Linked DNA regions of Canis lupus familiaris. The main gene of each other region encodes a partner of the protein of the gene in region 2 in a complex. Links are inferred from orthologs where the notes say so. Each region holds a gene or a part of one and is shown on either strand. Other genes may lie near its edges.

Region 1 (3,752 bases), on a different chromosome or scaffold from region 2:
TGTGGAAGGAGCCTCGGTATCCATCGAAAGATGGATGGATAGACAAGATGTGGTCTATGTATACAATGGAATATTCCTCAGCCGTTAGAAACGACAAATACCCACTATTTGCTTCAACATGGATGGAACTGGAGGGTATTATGCTGAGTGAAGTAAGTCAATTGGAAAAGGACAAACATTATATGGTCTCATTCACTTGGGGAATATAAAAGTTAACAAAAGGGAATAAAGGGAAAGGAGAGAAAATGAGTGAAAATATCAGTGAGGGTGACAAAACATGAGAGACACCTAATTCTGGGAAATGAACAGGGGTAGTGGAAGGGGCGGTAGGCGGGGGGTTGGGGTGACTGGGTGATGGGCACTGAGAGGGGCACTTGGCGGGATGAGCACTGGGTGTTATACTATATGTTGGCAAATCGAACTCCAAAAAATAAAAATAAAAAAATAAAAAATAAAATCAGAAAAAAAGAAAAAAAATGAAAGTGCTGAAAGGCCAAATTCCCAGTGTAGTGGAAAACACAGCTGTCAGAAGTCACCCGCCCTCAGGCTAGAGCCGCCCAGAATCAGAAACGAGAGAGAAAAGAATTTTGACCTTTAAAGTATAGGCATTTCATATTGTCAGGCAGTGCAATATTGCTGGTGTTTACAGGTTTTACTGCTTGTGGTCAGCACGTTAACACATCAGTTGGAAAAAAATAATCACAAAAGAGTGACAGCAGTTCTCTTACTCAAAGGGTAAACTGACTTTTCCTGTGATTCTGTGGCCTTGAAGAGAGCCAGATAGAACCTAAGCATCCTGTCAGTCATAAGTACTGCCCTTTTTCAGCAGAACCCTCCAGTTGGTATTAACCTTTCTTCAGTGAAGACATTTTTATATCTAGATTCAAATTTGTTCACCAATATGGGTGGAAAATAGGCTGATTATCCTAGTAACTTACCATTTTCTGAGTCATCACAGTCAAGAAGTCACTAAAGTTCATTTTTCCTGTCCCTTCCTTATCGATTTCACTTATCATTTTTTTGATCTCTTCTTTTTTGGGTTCAAAGCCCAGTGCCCTCATTGCCACCTACAATGAAAACAGGATCATGTCAATATGCACATCAAAACCTGGCAGGAACAAAAATGACAGTGAGAGCATGAGGCCAGCATCTGACACAATCATGTTAAAATGACTGGGAAACACTATAGCGTTATGCAGATTGATATTTGTGCTCAATTTTATTTTATAACACTTGAGGTAAATAAAGACAGGAGAAGAGAAAAACAGGAAAACTTTTTGCAGGGAAAAGAGGGCAAAAGGGGTAGAGCAGTGACAAGGAAAGAAGAGAAAGAAGTAGAGGAAAGGAAGGCAGTACAGTGGGAATGTAAAGGGCTTGCCTTAAGTTCCTTTACGTCTATGGTCCCAGTTCCATCAGCATCAAAGAGATCAAAAGCTTCCCGGATTTCCTGTTTCTGCTCTTCAGTCAGCTCCGGCTTAGGACTCATCCTTTTTCGTTGGGCAGATGATGCCATGCTTGCCTTCTTAAAGTTAGAGGCCTTTAGGTGTTTTACAAACACAGAAGTACGATATTAAGTGATGCAATCCATATTTTACATAAAATAGTTACAAATATTTACATAAAATATTTACACCAAGCAATTCCACAGCTTTGCTTAATAGGAGAGATAACAGGGCTTTACTTGAAACAACAATCTTTCCGTGCACCGCTATCCCTCCTTCTTTTTTCCTATTCTTTGTAGAAGCAAGGAGATCCCGTGTTCCTTTGCACATCTCTTATTGAAAATCATCCCCAAAGAGATCCAGCCAAGGAGCTGACTGTGGATAACTGTACAGATGATCAGCTGTCCTTGAATTTGGCGATCCTAATTCAAGAAAAGCCCTTACAACATTGGCTCGCAGTATTCCTCCTCTCTGTACTCCAACTTTGTGATTACTTCTACATTTGGCCCAATATTACTACTTTGCTAAGGTGTATAATAAAATTCCATCCACTAGGCAGGTCTGTGCCTACTTTAATTAGATCAAAACGTCTCCCGAAAGATCCCTGTATTTATTCAGAATGCACGTTAACAATCAAACATAATAAACCTCCTCCCAGGTCTGTGGGTAAACTTTGGTAGCACGAAGCGACCAGGAGGTCAGGGTCTGAGAGGTCAGAGCCTGCGGGTAACCCGAGTATTCTTTGACCAGGGGCAGTCACGCGGGGGCTGGCAGGGGAAGGCCACGCGCGCCCGAGGGATGGGTGGGCGCAGACTGAACGAAGGGGAGGCGGCGCAGGACCGCAGGCCCAGGTGGCGGCCGACGTCTCTACCCTACCCTTCCGGGAACTAGCCGAGAGGAAGTAGGGGCACTCCAAAGCCGAGAGCGGCGCGGGAGCGACGGCAGGGCCACACGAAGCCTGAGAAGGGCTCAGCCCCTGGCCGCGGGGCACCAAAGGGCGGCCCCCACTCACCATTGCCGATGGACTCCGCGGACCGTTGTTACGGCAACCGACGTACACACTGACTCGGCGCCTTTCCCACCGCCCCGCGCGCGCGGCTCCGCTCCCCATTGGCAGCCCGCTCGCCGCCGCTGCTCCCCATTGGCGGGGAGCCGTGGTGGGTGGGGCTAAGCGGACAAAGGCCAGGCCCAGGGCAAGGGGGCTGTGCTTTCACAGCCGAGGCCTGGCCTCATTGGACAGGATCACATTGTGAGCGCCGATTGGCTGAGCCGGCGCCGAGCTGAGCCAATCCCCTTGGCGGAGGCATCTCGGCCGATCCTCGGCTCATGCTGGTGGGGAGAAAAGGGTGACCGCCAGCGGCCCGAGGCCTTTGGGTGCAAGCTGAGGGCGCGCGGAGGCTGGCCGGGGGGTCGCCTACGGACGGGTAAGGGTCACGACCTCACCCTCGGAGGCTGCCTTCTATCCGCTACTGGGTGGGAGGGTAGGGGGCTGGGTGGGGCCTTCCGGTTGGGGGCTTTCTGGTCTGGCTTAAGACTGAATTTGGAAAGAGGGGCCAGAGAAGACCGTGACCTTGAGGGTCAGAGCAGAGACTGTGCTCAAGGGACAGCAGAGCCAGAGAAGGGAATGGGAGTGTCGAGGAGGTGTGGACAGCTGCGACTTAGAAACCGAATCCCGCTGAGGCTCTCCCTTTGAGGGGGAGTTTTGAGGGAGTGAAACAGATATGACTGAGCATGAGGGGAGAGGTCATCAAAATGTACTTTTTGACACCCACTCGGGCGGAGACACTGAGCAAAGTCACACAAGAGTTTTGAAAGTGTGAGGGGTGCCTGGAGACTGTTCTTTTATAAAACTCTGTTAAATTTCTTTTGTTTTCTTTAATCATGATAAGTGCAGTCTTTATTTCCCATCACCAATGTAACGTATTCCCCCCCCCACCTCCCCTCTGGTCACCATCAGTGTGTTCTCTGTAGTTAAGAGTCTGTTTCTTGGTTGGCCTCTCTTCACCCCCCCCCCCATGTTCATTTATTTTGTTTCTTAAATTCTACATATGAATGAAATCATATGGTATTTGTCTTTCTCTGACATTTCACTTGCCATAATATTCTCTAGCCCCATCCATGTCAATGCAAATGGCAAGGTTTCATTTTTTATGGCTGGATGGTATTCCCCACACACGCACACACATACACACACACCCCACATCTCCTTTATCCACTCATCTGTTGATGGACACTTGGGCTGCTTGCATATCTTAGCTATCATGAACAATGCTGCTACAAACATCAGTGTGCATGTATCCCTTTGAATTT
Region 2 (3,752 bases):
GAGGAGCAAGAGGATAGTAACTGGAACAAGGCATGAGATCAAGATCCAAAGAAGAGGCTAGTGGAAAGAAAGGGAGCAAGAAGAGATGTGAATATCCGAGAGAGAAAAGGTAGTAGGGAGAAGGGCATAAGAGGTGGGATTTAACTCAGACAAAGGGAAACCGGTGAAAACGAGTATAGATATAGATCCAGGTTTGTAGGTTTGAGGGTGGAAAAAAAAAAAGAGAGTGCATGCCTACAGGCTTCTATTTTCTCTGTGACTAGGAGGCTGAGGGATCAGCTGGAAGACAAGATTTGAGGAATGTGGAAAAGTCTGAGATAGTCACTGCCGTGAACAGGACAGGGGTGACCAGATGGCCACAGAAGGCCTGTGTCAATCAATGGCTGCTTATCAACAAGTCTGTATGTCTGCTCATCTGGGATGACAACAGGTCACAACACCAATAAATCATGCCGCTGAATCTCAAGCATAGGTCTTAGACCCTACAACCTCTATTTTTTCCCTGTCTACGATAAGATATTTGGCTTTTTTTTTTTTGGGGGGGGGGGGGAAGTAGGAAAAAAGAACTAACAGAATTTGCTATCTTAAACATCTTCAAGGGTAGAGTTCAGTAGCCAAGGGCATCACACTGTTGTACTACAAACGTTCAGAATTTTTTATCTTGCACAAAAGAAACTCTGTAACCCATTAAACAACTCCCCATTTCTCCCTTCCCTCTGGCAGCCAACATTCTGTTTCTAGGAATCTGACTACCTTAGGTATCAAACATAAGTGGAACCACACAGTATTTATCCTTTTTTGGTTTTTTGGCCGGCTTACTTCACTTAATACAATGTTCTTAAGGTTTATCTATGTTGTAGCATGTGACAGGATTCCCTTTTTAAGGACAAACATCTCGTAGTCCGTATACACTACATTTTGTTTATACACTCATCCACTTATGGACATTCAGGCTGCTACCCTAGGATGTTTAATTAAATATACATATATTCTCCTGACTCCTGGCTGTGAAAAATGATTCCTTTCCGTGTTGTCGATTACACACTCCTGTCACAAGGCATTATACAATGTATACACTCTTTGCAATTGTTGGTAACTCCTTTTCCTCTTTCCTCCAATGATTTATGTTTAATGACAGTAACTTGGTATGTACTAAAGAATAGTATTTAACCACACGTGTAACATGCAAGCCTTGTTTTTAAGATTATATCTGGGTAGGGAGATTGGGACAGCCGTAGTAAGAGTATAACTTCATGGGCAGCCCGGGTGGCTCAGCGGTTGAGCACCTGCCTTCAGCCCGGGGCCTGATCCTGGAGACCCGGGATCGAGTTCCGCATCGGGCTCCCTGCATGGAGCCTGCTTCTCCCTCTGCCTGTGTCTCTGCCTCTCTCCCTCTCTCTGTTTCTCATGAATAAATAAATAAAAATCTTAAAAAAAAAAAAGAACATAACTTCATGACCCGCATTCATATATATATGAAAATCTGATGTAATAAAATGAATTAGCTTGTGCTTTAAGTAGTTTAAACACCTGAGTCTGGCTTACGACCATTATTACCCTATAACCCTCAGTGATGTTACTTAACTACCCCCAAGTCTTTTTTCACCAGTCTGTAGACTGGGGTACTTAATAGCAGCTTCTCCGTAGGTGTGCAAAGGGGATTAGATGAAATCATGCAAGTGCAACAGTCCAATGCCTGGGGACATATCAGAGGCTCGATAAACATAATCTTTTATCATTTTTTTTTTTTTTTTTAAAGGTAGGACAGAGTCACTGAAATGGCTAGATTTGCAGAATTCAGATTTCGACTTTACAGTAATACCAGTCCTATGGCAAGTAGAACCAAGCACTCGCACCCCTCCCCCAACCCCACCCTCGCCCCAAAAAACCCCAAAACACTGCGGGGGGGGGGCGGGGGACAGGAAATATTACTCTTGAATGACATTCTCTACCAGTATGTCATAGACACGCTGCTAAAACTGAATCCAAAAAGCTAACTGTATGTCACTGAGCTGGAAACTGCGTTTTGTTTTGTTTGGGGGAGGGAGGGGGGATTGTGTTTTTAAGCCCAGCTCCGCCGCGTGCAGGGCTGAAGGCATCCTCGCCCCGCCCATGAGGCGCCGAGAGTCTGGACGCCGCAAACGCACCCACTCCTCCCAAAGCCTCAGGGGCGGCACCGCCCAAGGCTGAGACACCCCCCTCCCGGCAGGATGCACCCCGACTTCCAGGCCCCCTCTCACTACCGTGTCGGATCCGCCTACTCGGAAGTGCGCGTTCTCAGGTCCTCCGGCCTCACTGCGGGGAGATGGGGGGGGGGGCCGCTGGACCAAACCCCCCTGCCTCCCTCCTGAAACCCCACCGTGAGGGCTGGGGCGGCAGCACCGAGGCGCGCCATTCAAACCGGGGAGGGCTGGGACTCTAGGCCCAGAGCTAGGCCAAAGCAAGCACCATACCCACAAGCGAGGGCCTGCATTGCGAGGAACCTCACGGCACCTCGCACTAAAGGACCAACCTTCGTCCTGCCCAGCAAGTTCCCCCTTCTGCCGCGGCCGCCCTTACCCGAATTTACCGCCAACAGCGTCGCCATCTTGGAGGCGCCCTAACGGAGCCCTCCTGCCGCACGGAAGCCCCAGGAAAGGGCGAGGCTGCCCGACGCGATGCCTGAGCAGAAAGGTAACACCCTGTCTCGGAGTGGCACTCTCCACACACTCAGAGGCGGAAGAAGCCTTGAAAGGCGGCTGTAGAAGAAGAAGACGAAGAAAAAAAAAAAAAGCTGCTGTACGTCACAGGCGCCAATTTTCGCCGCGATCGGCTCATTCAAATTAGGCGAGGGCAACCGGTTCGGAGACCGGAGGGCCTCGATGTGACGTCAGTCGTGTAGTGGATTCTGGTCCTTGTAGTTTTTTTCCCCAATGATGAGTGACGACATCAACAGAAAGATGAGACTGATTATTGAAAATTACGCCTATTAAAAAAAAAGAAAATTACGCCTATTTACGATATAAAAGCCGTAAACTCAGGTCATTATCTCCATATCAAGTTACACCTTCCTTGCATTTCTCTCTGAGGAGTGGAGTGAGGTGTAAGGTATACAAATCTCAAAAAGCTATTTAATCAGTTACAAACTAAGTTTTCATTACATTTCAATATGGCAAGTGTATTGCATCAACATTGTTGCATAGGTTGAAACAAATCTAAGTGAAACAAATCATGACTTTTGTTACATTTGTCAAATGTATACAAAAGTAGAATAATGAACACCCAAAGTTCAATTCGCGGCCTTTACTCCACCCCTAACAGGGAAGATTATTTTGAAGACCTTTCCAGACAGATCTCATAAATACCAAATATTTTTCTACCTAAGCACCCTCAAGTAGCTGGATCTTTTTCTTTTTTAACATTATTTATTTGAAAGAGTGAAAGAAAATGAGCAGATGGTGGGAGCAGAGGAGAAGGGGAAGCAGACTCCCCACTGAACAAGGACCAGACCTGGGGCTGGATCTCAGGACCCCAAGATCATGATCCCAGCCAAAGGCATACATACACTTCACTGACTGAGCCACCCTGGGACCCCAAATAACTGGATCTTCTTTTTTTTAGTTACTGAATTTTAGTTTGCAAATTTTCCAACTAAAATATAGTCATTACCATTTATTATTCTATGCCAGATGTTTATTACCAATTTCACATTATAGGATAATGTACTGATTATTATTATATCTCATTTAATCCTCAAAACAACCCTATTAGGA
Region 3 (3,652 bases), on a different chromosome or scaffold from region 2:
GAACAGTATCCTTCAATAGTAATAGATAATACATAAAATTATGTATTAACCAGAATCAAATGTTCTGGTTCAGAGTTACTTGTTCCAAAGTATAAAATAGACACTCATTTGTGGTCAGTTATCATTGAAAAGTAATTAACAAATGGAGAAAATATACAGTTCTTGGCTGTTTGATTTCTAAACAGTAATAAATTTTTATTTGACTACTGGTATTTTCAATAGGTAGCCTTTAAGATAGCTAAAGTATGTGCTAAGTTGGTCAAAAGTTCTATCTTTCAAAGTCAGAGCAGATGTTTAGCCATGGTCATTTATTCTGGAAAGAACCCAGTATCAGCGGCTCCAATAATAACATAGAAAAATGAAGGGTAAGGAAAGGGTGAAGATGGCATGGGACTCTGACTTCAACTGCTAATAAAATCACATTTTAAAACTGTATTTACTTAAGATGTTATAATATGTTGCATAAAATCATTAATGACGATGATACAATGCCTAAAATAGCCTGCAACTATGAAAAAAATGTAATCAGAAAAACATGAATACAAGACTTTTTATGTTCAAGTGGATACATACACAATTATTTCCGGGTACTAAAGCAAAGTGAAACAAAGACAATTTTTTAAAGTAATAATAACAAATACTAAATAGTACTTACTATTATAGCTAGGACCCCTTCTAATAAACATTTGACATATTTTATGTATTAACTTATTTATTCCTCCCAAAAATCACAAGATACTACAACTATCCCACTATATATAGCTGCAAATGAGTCAGAGACAAGAAAAATGACCAAGTCATACAAAAACCAATATCTGAACCCAGGCAATTTGGTTCTAAAATGTCCATGATAAACCACTACATTGTATCAAATGTGCCTGAACTGTAGCTCTTTCCTAATAGTATCATTGCCACTATATCCTAATACCTGTTTCTATAAATTAACAATCTAAGTTGGAACTTGGACTAAGATCACTAACTGTAGAAGAACTTCAATAATGAAAGACTAAAAGAATAAAGATGGTTCCCTCCCCCTTCTCAAGTAAATAAGTCTACAGATTAGGAAAAACAACAACAATAACAACAATATGCTCCCCAAGAGATGAGCTGCCTTTCTAAACAGTTATTTCTTAATTTATAAAGTGGGGATATTCTGTGTTGTTCTTCCTTTCTCTTTTAGGTTTATCCTTTAATTTTCCTCTTCCTCACCTTGGTTTTGAGTTTTCAAATTAAAAAAATAAAACCAATGATTTAATGATATGAATCTATCTTTTCCAAACTCCCATTTGTTTTTGCTTTCTGTACTGCTTCATGCAGTACAATATTCATGCTGAATATTTACACAAAAGGTTTGTAACTGGATTTGTTTCTAAATTTTTAAAATATCTTAAAATAACTATATGCTTATATCATGACCCATATTAAGTATTACTGCTTTAGAAAATTAAACTCTGAATAGATGCACATTCTATGTATAATATTCTATGCAATATATTTAAATCATAATAACAAAGGCCTTGCTTTCCAGAATCTTCTATTCTAAAAAAGCTTGATATATGCTATAACTAATTCACTAAAATCAACTATATAAAAATTCAATCATATTAAGCTCATGACACATTATGCTTAGTTGGTTATTCTAAAATGTTTTCTCCTGCTTGAGTTTGCCAAATGCCTTTATTACAATCCTCTCCCCATTCTCAACTTTAAACAGATGACTTTATTCACTGAGATCAAGTCATACAGAATATGCAGCCCCTTATAAGCTTTGTCAACCTGAAGGCATGCACTTCATCTTCAGCCAAAGATACCAAATGCTATAGGTTTTCTCTTCTCCCACTCTGCCAACAAAAATCACACACCAGAATGGTCTTAGGAAATATTTTCCAAACAAAAGGATACCAAATTTTCTGTTTTAGTCTAAGAAAATAATTTTTTGATCACCTTTTTAGTTTTATCACATGATATAAACTTAGGAAGACATCATTCCACAAAAAGCTACATAATAGTTCCTTAATTAGAATCTTCAGAACAAAAGACAAAATGATAAATCCCATAGTGAAGCTGTAAATCTTATTTTTTTCTTTGAAAATAAGTAAGAAGAGTGCCCCCAAATCCCTATAATAATATCTACATTATACAGCAATGTTCAATAACAAAATTCCATAACCCAGAGAATTAAAAAAAAACTAATATTAACCAGATAATTTCCTAACAAGTGCTAATTACAAAGACTATTAAAATACACACCAACTTCATTAAAATCTTCAAAGGTGATTTTCCCTGTGGCTTCTCTGTCATAATCTTTAAGAATCTTCAGTACATCAGCTTTTTTTACATCAAACCCCAAGGCTCTCATTGCCACCTTTTGGATTAAAAGGGAAAAGCAAATTATAAAGCACTCTTTCAAAAGAAGTGACTTCCAATTCTTAAATAAGTTTTTACAACTTAAGAGATGTCAGCACATTAATAAAACATTTAAATCTTTTGCAAGTTTTATGTCTCTTAAAAAATCAAAGTGATAGCTTTTCTCCACTACTGAAATAGCAACTTTTTCATTTACATATCCTTTTTTATATGACAAACCAATCAAATGTTTATAAAATACACCATACAAGACTGACTTACTGTACAAATCATTTTAACAAATTATTTGTTCTCAAATGATTACCAAAATGAAAAAAAGTATAGCATAAATATTAAAAATGTATACAACAGAAGAGATAAAAAAATTAAAGTAAGAGTTATCATGAGACTCTACATGATTAGTTATTAAGTAAATAGTCCAGGCCCTGAGTTTAAAGAAAGAAAAGATCTTGTTACTATTAACAAAAAGGAGAGACAGGATACTGATTAAAGAAATCTTACTCGGAAAGGTTCCATTTGTTCCCTGATATATGGATGAAATAAAGTAGAAGAGCACTGAGAAAAGGATGACTGGCATTAAAACAGATACCATAATATATAGGCTTAAGGACAGTGAACAGAGCAGCTTACCATACCTGAACCGGAAGAGCTCAGGTGGAAACAAGTCCTTAGCAATGAGAAAAGTAGGTAGTAGTAAAAGTGTGGGGAGTATTCAATAAAAATAAAAGGAATCTGAACTTTATGCAGTGTACAATGAGGAGCCACTAAAGGTTTACGAACAATGAATAATAGGAGGAAAGAGTCTTAGAAAGGTGAATCTAATGGTAGTATACAGAGCAAACCAGAAATGGAGAAAACATTTAAGAAGATCCAGGTATGAAGTAAGATCCCAAACCAAGATAATAACAATGGTAACAAATGGAAGAGACAGGGCAGCCCGGGTGTCTCAGCAGTTTAGCACCATCTTCAGCCCAGGGCGTGATCCTGAGAACCTGGGATCGAGTCTCAGTCGGGCTCCCTGCATGGAGCCTGCTTCTCTCCCTGTGCCTGTCTCTCTCTCTCTGTGTCTCTCATGAAAAAATAAATAAAATTAAAAAAAAAAAAAAAAATGGAGCTACCAAAATGTCGCCTTTCTCATGCTGAGTGTGAGATCTGTACTACCCTAAACTTTAATTTTCCCTCACATCTTTATAAATAATTCTAGGCCCTAAAGTTGACATTTTCCCCCATTAGCACTGCGTTGACATCAGACATCACTTATATTGTTTGCACTAGAGAAAGTATG

What was found.
Region 1: NUP205 (region 2) and CETN2 share a complex: the UniProt entries of both Homo sapiens proteins name them as parts of the nuclear pore complex. The link is inferred for Canis lupus familiaris from reciprocal best matches to the Homo sapiens genes NUP205 and CETN2.
Region 3: NUP205 (region 2) and CETN3 share a complex: the UniProt entries of both Homo sapiens proteins name them as parts of the nuclear pore complex. The link is inferred for Canis lupus familiaris from reciprocal best matches to the Homo sapiens genes NUP205 and CETN3.

What each region holds. Positions count from the first base shown.
Region 1 is NC_049260.1:122,024,022-122,027,773, forward strand, and holds the start of CETN2 (centrin-2), read right to left. Parts: upstream 2,594-3,752; 5' UTR 2,554-2,593; coding exon 2,455-2,553; intron 1,538-2,454; coding exon 1,379-1,537; intron 1,068-1,378; coding exon 939-1,067; intron 1-938. UniProt on the Homo sapiens protein: Plays a fundamental role in microtubule organizing center structure and function. Required for centriole duplication and correct spindle formation. Has a role in regulating cytokinesis and genome stability via cooperation with CALM1 and CCP110.
Region 2 is NC_049237.1:12,346,132-12,349,883, forward strand, and holds the start of NUP205 (nuclear pore complex protein Nup205), read right to left. Parts: upstream 2,717-3,752; 5' UTR 2,588-2,716; coding exon 2,560-2,587; intron 1-2,559. UniProt on the Homo sapiens protein: Plays a role in the nuclear pore complex (NPC) assembly and/or maintenance. May anchor NUP62 and other nucleoporins, but not NUP153 and TPR, to the NPC.
Region 3 is NC_049224.1:18,666,079-18,669,730, reverse strand, and holds part of CETN3 (centrin-3), read right to left. Parts: intron 2,366-3,652; coding exon 2,251-2,365; intron 1-2,250. UniProt on the Homo sapiens protein: Plays a fundamental role in microtubule-organizing center structure and function. As a component of the TREX-2 complex, involved in the export of mRNAs to the cytoplasm through the nuclear pores.